2 linked regions of the Stegostoma tigrinum genome follow. The protein of the gene in region 2 interacts with the protein of the main gene of each other region in a pairwise test. Links are inferred from orthologs where the notes say so. Each region holds a gene or a part of one and is shown on either strand. Other genes may lie near its edges.

Region 1 (3,754 bases), on a different chromosome or scaffold from region 2:
CGGACTGGTTGGACCAAAGAGCCTTATCCCGTGGTATCTGACTATGTGATCGTGGCTGATCGTCCAACTCAGTGTCCTGTTCCCGCTTTCCCCCCGTACCCCTCCCTGTGAACCCTTTCACCCTAGGAACTGTATCTGTTTCGACTTAGCCTCAACCACTTTCCGTGGCAGCAAATTCTACAAACCAGACACCCTCTGGGTCGAGATACTTCTCTTGTATTTACACAGCATTATAAGCATTTTGGGAAGCCTTGAAATGTTGCTATCAATCAGGGCTGGTCATTTGTGCACAGCAAAGTCCCACGAACAGCAAGCGATGAGAATAAATGAACAGACAATGGATTCTGTTGTTGTTGTTGAGCAATTAGACCAAACAGCACAGTTTCTGGGATGTTTCCCCCACATGGTGAGGGAGGATGGGGGGATTGGGGAGGATGGGGGGGATTGGGGAGGATGGGGGGGATTGGGGAGGATGGGGGGGTTTGGGGGGGGTGAGCAGGTAGCACCCGGACCTGAAGCGAGAGAAAGCTGGGCGAAACCCGTTCCGTTTCGACGAGCCCGAGCGGTCGCGGTGACACTCACCCAGCGACAGCCTCCCTCCCCCTCACAACAACCCCCCGCCCCCGGCAACGGCAGCAGAAAGCTCAGAGGGACTTGAGCTGCATTGGCGCGGCATCCTCACCGGAAGCTTGCCCCTAGCAACCGCCTTACTTCCGGTCTGTTCGTGGAAGCGCGGGTGTACACGGCACGCATGCGCGAAGTTCGCTCAGACACGGCAAGGGGAGGATGGATGAGGTATTGTGTCTGAGCCATTGGGAAATATTGACTATTTCTTTTTCCTCTCCATCCTCACAATAAACCTCAACAGAGGTGGGTGCAATGAGTATAAGGAACTTTTAACAAAGAAAAAGGAGCCAAGGTATTGAATTTTCTGATTTTTAAACTAGTGATGGGTAATTAGACAGCTGCTAGCATTTATCAGACAATTGGAAACATCTTGAAGTTAAGGTAAAGGGGGATAAGTTCAAACCACTTAAAAATAAAGTTAGGACTGGTTGGAGGAGGTTTTTCTTTAAAACAAATCTTTACATAATTCATGATTTAGGTGAAACCTATTTAATGTGAAAAGGAGAGAGCCAACACTAGGGATAGATTGGAGTTCACCACACCAACTAAAAAGCAAAGAGTCGCATTTATGAAGCGCTTATTCACGATCACTGACAATGTCAAAGCACCTTGCTACCAATTAAGCGTTAGTTTTTAAGGGGAGTTACTGTTCTAATGTTAGAGGCGTAGCAGTTATTTTGTGCTCAGCAAACATCTACAGATAGAAATGTGAGATTGAACAGCTGATGTTTTTTGTGATATTGCTTGAGAGATAAATGATGATCATCTCACCATGTATAACTCCCCTGATCATTTTTGAAGTAGTGCCATGGTGTTTTGTACATCCACCTTAGCAAGTAGAATAAAGCCCTGGTTTAATTTCTCATCTGAAAGATGGCACCTCCAACAATGTTATACTCCCACATACTGCACAGGAGTGTCAGCGTTAATTTTCTCCCCAAAACCCTTATTTCTGTCCCAGGTCCCCTTAGATTAGTTGCTATATCAATTTTTTAAATTAACATGCTATGATTCCTGAATGTTGTTTATGTTACCACATTCTGCAGGAGCAACAGTGCAATCACAAATAGAAAAATGTTTCAAATTTTGAAATACAGCAGCACTGTTATCTTGTTTATTGTTAAGGATTTTCTGTTGCTTATTTTGGAAAACTCAAAACTAAAAGATAACTAACTATACAGTTTTGCAGTTCACTGGCTACTCTGCAGACATGCCCAGTGTCATTGTGGCAGCCTTGGTATCGTTCTTTGCTTAATAATACTCATGTTAATTGGCTTGTACCATTTCATCATGTTGGAGGCATTAAATAAATGTGTTGTTGTAGATTTGCAACATTCAATTGAGATGTTAATATGTTCCATATTAACTCCAAATCTGAAAGATTTTTCTCTTTTTGTAATAGTTCAGACTCCATAAATTAAGATACACCACCAGTTTTTCTGGTGCTGTTTGGAATTTAAGTTTCCATGAACACCCACTGATGGTGCTCGTAGCCCAGCAGTTGAAAATAACGATTGTGATTAAAGGATGAAATAATTTTTGTAGCTCAGCCAAACTGTTCTGAGTGTTGGAGATGAGACTGGACCAACTGCAGTTTCCTTAAGCTCCGTGTTTCTAGCAAAGGAGGATGGGAGACTGCATTCCTGATCAAACAATTTATCAACCATCTGCTTGGGCACTACCTTGTGAAGCAGGGAAACACTTTGAGCCAAATTTTTGTGCAGCCTTCCTAACTCTGCACCTCTTCAGGAATGGCAGTTGAAATTTGGACACAGAAGTTCTGTCCACAATTCTGACAGGTCTAGTTTTTGCCAGCAGTGGAAAGGGGATAGTTTGTGATACACAGGAGTGTATTCAGAACTCAACAGGGCCATTCGAACTCCACTCAGTTCAAAAAGACCCCACCTTGGTTGATGCAAGCTTTCTTACCAACAATGTCTGATGAAATAAGCATCAATGTCATTTTCAGGCAGCGATAATCAGTACAACTATCATTATCTGAAGGTTTTTTTTAAATGACCCACTATTTAATCTTCAAAAACAAAAGGCTGAGACTGTCAGTGAGAGTTTACAAAAAATTTACTGGACTGCTTTGAATGAAGGGCAGAGGTTAAAAAAATGTAACAACTGTTTGGGCAATTACGATAGAACTCTTTCTTGTCATTTCTTCAGGGGCTATTATGATACCTTTTGTGACAGGTCAACCAGGCATTCATAAAGACATGTTAGGCCATAGAGTGGGTAAGGTCATTAGAGCCTTTAAGACTTAGGGGCTGGTTGGCCTAGCAGCTTCTAAAAAAAGTGGAACAAAGACCCAAGGAACAGGTCACGTTTTTTGGCGAGTTAGGAAACTTCCTGACTAAAATGCTGTGCCTCATTTGCCAAGATCCAGTCCATATGTCAAAAAGCTGCCCATCCATTTCGAAACCACAGTTTTTCAAACAATTCATCTGAATCAGGAGGAAGATTTTGTATTGCAATGCAGCTGGAGGTTCATTCCTGTTTGTGAAACACTGAATTACATACATTGTGGCTGGGCTAAAATCGGGTAGTTTAACTTCCTGTGATATCACATTATTGTTGACTGGAAACTTTATGAATTGTGCAGCCAACGTGAAACATTTCTCTGTTAAGCACTGGAACCACATGACGCTTCGGAACCAATTTATTGCCAAAGATCGCCACTAAAGGTCACATCCTGTTAGTAGATAAATCATTAGGTTGTGCTGAAGAGGATTAGTAGAATCTTTCTTACTTGTAGTAGATGTGTATTTGTTAAGAAGAATGGAAGAAACCCTATTAAAAAGCATGTGAGTCAAGGAAGGCTGAACTATAGCTCACTCAAAATGAGTCATTTCTACCCTTTGTCTAAACTGTAAAATGTCACACAGTGCACACTTATAGAAATATATGCATTGTTACTCCTACTTAAAGCAGGAGTTCATGATTCAGCTCATAAGATAACAATCAGAACTATAATTTCACTCCCTACGTCAGTATGCCGTTGCCTAACAACTTTCCTAATGAACTAGAAATAAAGAAAAATAATGAACGAACATTTCCTCAATTACATGATCACAAAATCATATGAGCTCAAAACTAAAGTATCAATTTGTACTGCCAGCCA
Region 2 (3,754 bases):
ATAAGCGAACGCAAAAGAATAATATTTGCTGAAGAGTAATATTTATTCTATTTTGAAGAATAATATTTATTTCCCAATTAGCACCCTTCAAAGCATGTTATCTAGTCATTAACATTCTAGATGGTTCTGTATTCCGCACAATAGTCACAATGCTCGAGAAAAATACTTATTATGTACCTAAGTCATTTTGGGGGGTGCGAGCTGTGATCCAAAAAGGTGCTATATCAATACAAGCCTTTCTTTCTTATTCTCCAGCATCAACAAAAGAAAAAACATACACAAAATGCTAATATTTATCACCATTTATTTAAGTGTTGGGGGGGAGGAGGTAGAATATTTTATAACTAGTGAAAGCGACGAAATAATGCACTAAGTCATAGAAAATCGACGACCCGTACATTATTGCACACAATTTGAGGAGATGCATGTAGCTCATCTGCACCTCTTCCTGATAAGCTTTTTTTTCCCTGACACATTCGGCGATGTCTCTCCGCAGGCACTTGGTTTTGCGGAATAGCTTGCGGCGAAAGTTTCATGAGCAAAAGTAAGAGAGATTTAATAAAAAACCAGGAAAAAGAGAAATTGCTGAAAAAGCCCGGCAGGACTGGAGTTCTGAGGAAGGGTCACTCTGCTTTCTCTCTCTCTCTCTCTACAGATGCTCTCTGAGCTTTTCCAGCAATTTCTGATTTCCAGCATCAGCATTTCTTTTTGGGTGGGAGGGGGGGGGGTTGGAAATAATCGAATCTGGGTCTGCTACAGCGCGAGCGCGAGCATCTGACGGTGCGCACCACCGCTCCCTCCCCCGCAACCCCTTCGGGCTCGCGCTCGCGGAATCCCCGAGCGGAGACGCGCGCGGGAGAGCCAGAGAGGGAAGAGAGGAGGATTTGCAGCTCTGCTGTGATAAGAGTCCATCATCCAGGGGACAGACAACCAGCCGCGCCTGTCTTCTCCCTCCCCTCATCCCACATCACCCTCCCTTGCGGTCATGGCTGAGGTGGGAGAAGGAGAAGACGAAATTCAGTTCTTACGAACTGTAAGTACCTCTTTCTCACACCACCACCACCATCCCCCCATTATTATTTCCATCTCCCTCACCTCGCGTACCATTAAATAATGTGTTCTTCGCTCTTTAACCCTCCCCACCCCACTGTGTGAAAAGGACGCGAGGATTTATTTCAGCCGCATTTGAATCAATGTGTATTAGTCCTGCACTGCACTTAGCGGGTGCGCTGTCACCAACCGCATGCTGTGTTCGCGGTGCTTTTATCTTGGATGGAATTATTCTCTCAGTAAATCGGAAAGCTTCTGCTGTCTGGTGCATTTCTTCTGGGGAAAAAATGTGATTGCAAAGAGGCGGAAATGAAGTGTCAAAGAATCTTTGCATCCCAGGGCGGACTATGTGACAATAACTGATGGCGTTTATAATTTGAACGAAGCAGGAGTTAGTACAGTATTGAATTTTTTTCTCCCCCCCCCCACCCCCTTCCTTAGTAGTGTGGGGCTAGCGGAAGAGTTAGCGGGATGCTGTTTGACGGGCTGTTAGGGAATGAGCGCTGTTATCTGGGCTGCACTGTTAGATGGATAGAGGCAAGGTTTGGATTTGGTGCCCTGTGTTGCTCTAATGAGCATGTTTCATGCGTAAGACACGCAGGCAGTCACCGTGGTGCCGCTGTTGCTCATTGTTCAGTTCATAAGCAATGCAGTTGCCCCGTTTGGCTCTCAGTATTTGTGCAAACCAACCGTAACGAGCCGTCATATCCAGTGCTCGGGTTCTTTGGTTCGTCTTGCTCTGTACACGGGTCGATGCAGTTAATTTTCACAGAAACATATCATTGCATTTTTAATGCACGCCTCTACACAATTTAAATATGCGGAAATTTCGCGCAAGTATCGCCAGAGTATGCGTGTTTTTTTGAGGTGTGAAGCATAACACAAAACTGAAAACCAAGCATCGAGTTGTAAAGTGTTTGTATTTCTTAACAGTGGTATATGTCATGCATGCTCATCTTGAACGGACCACTAGCGTCTCCATGTCACCTCAAGTGATTTATAAAAAGCGTTTACAAAGTTTTTAAAGCTTGCTTGGAATAAGGGAGCGTAGAGGCATTTATTGGTTCACAATCCGAATACCTAGTGGTGTTACATTTGACTAGAAGTTTAGCAACGTACTATACTTATAGAGCAATGCCAACGCAGCATACAGCAGTGGGGTTACACAAACATTAGGCAAGCCCATGTTCTGTTAACTAATGTAGACTTTGGCCGTTTATCCTGAGGTTTCCTTTGCAACAAAATGCTGAACTTGGATGAAATGACCTTGAGTGAAAGTACAATGTGAATCAAACTTTTTTTGTTATATATCATGCATGTTTGTAATGTTTAGGAGAGTTGCACGGGTTAAAGGAAAGCTGACTGCAGTAGAAATGTTCAATTGTTTTATTTACAAGAACACTGCTATTTGTCCTATTTTAACAGAGAGGCTAAAATCTGATATTGATCAGTACACACCGGCCATCATGTTTTAGTATTTAAAATTACCATTAGTTTCTACAGACCTATATAACATGCAAGTAAATTATCCATATACTGAAAACTTAAAATGCAGAACCAACTCAAAGTCAGGTGTCAAGATCTGTAATATATCAGATGAACAGAGACAAGATTTAGATTTTGCTTCTGTATGCTAATTCTCTATATTAATCAAGTGTATTAAGCCTTCAAAAATGTGTAGTGTAAAAGCTGTGTATAGCTAAATCTGAATACCTCAATCTCAGTATACCAAATCTTGAAGTTTTCAGTTATCATCATTTTGTTACTGTAATGTTTCAATAATGAAATGCATGCAATCAACATTAACAAATTAAGACAAATTCTAAGCTACCAAAAAAAACCTACAAAATTTCTGTAGATTAATTCATTGCCAGCAATGAAAGTGATGAATGGTTATTCATTTTTACCCAAAGGAATATCAACCTGCAAAACGAACAATAGTCTTAATTTTAAATTCTCACAATGACCTTGGAACCATACTGATGATTCATGTGCTTTTGTAGATGACAGCCTGGTGTCTGTAGATCCTATTTGTTGAGCAACATTTCCCACAATGTTTGTCAAAGAATGTGCACTGAGCCCATTCACTGTTGTCTTGCATTGGGAGCTCCTCCATAATGGTGCATTCTGCTTAATGTATGTAGCACTGTGTTTTGGATTATAGGACAGGATCTGTATATAGATCACAAAAAGAGAACTGCACAATTTGAGCCATTCCTTTTTGGCAAACTGAAGAAGGAACTACGAACTAAAGACATTGTGGGGCTACAGAAATTAAACTGATGAGCAGCTTTGGGTGACCATGAACAGTACAGATATAGGTACTGATCATTCTTTAGTTATTAACTGTTGCATTGCCTGTTTTGTTTAGATTCATAGTTATAGTCATTTATAGCACAGAAGGAGGCAGTTCAGCCCTTTGTTTCCGTGCCAGTCAACAAAAATCTGATTATATTAATCACATTTTCCAGCTCTCACTTCATAGCCCTGGAGGCTATGGTAATACGAATGACTACCTAATTACTGCTTCAGGTGTTACGAGAAATTCAGAATCAACTACTGTTTGAGGCAGTGATTGCCAGATTCCCACTCCCCTACCATACAGAGCAACCCCATGGCAAAACTTGGGTGGCATGGTGGCTCACTGGTTAGCACTCCTCCCTCACAGTGTTTGATTCCAGCCCTGGGTGACAGTCTGTCAGAG

What was found. The genes of interacting proteins can lie anywhere in the genome.
Region 1: the proteins of ryr2a (region 2) and fkbp1b interact in binary tests that used the Homo sapiens proteins (3 or more experiments, as listed by UniProt). The link is inferred for Stegostoma tigrinum from reciprocal best matches to the Homo sapiens genes RYR2 and FKBP1B.

What each region holds. Positions count from the first base shown.
Region 1 is NC_081357.1:122,404,498-122,408,251, reverse strand, and holds the start of fkbp1b (peptidyl-prolyl cis-trans isomerase FKBP1B), read left to right. Parts: upstream 1-778; 5' UTR 779-870; exon of another isoform or gene 871-919; intron 920-3,754. UniProt on the Homo sapiens protein: Has the potential to contribute to the immunosuppressive and toxic effects of FK506 and rapamycin. PPIases accelerate the folding of proteins. It catalyzes the cis-trans isomerization of proline imidic peptide bonds in oligopeptides.
Region 2 is NC_081362.1:78,695,281-78,699,034, reverse strand, and holds the start of ryr2a (ryanodine receptor 2), read left to right. Parts: upstream 1-879; 5' UTR 880-985; coding exon 986-1,033; intron 1,034-3,754. UniProt on the Homo sapiens protein: Cytosolic calcium-activated calcium channel that mediates the release of Ca(2+) from the sarcoplasmic reticulum into the cytosol and thereby plays a key role in triggering cardiac muscle contraction. Aberrant channel activation can lead to cardiac arrhythmia.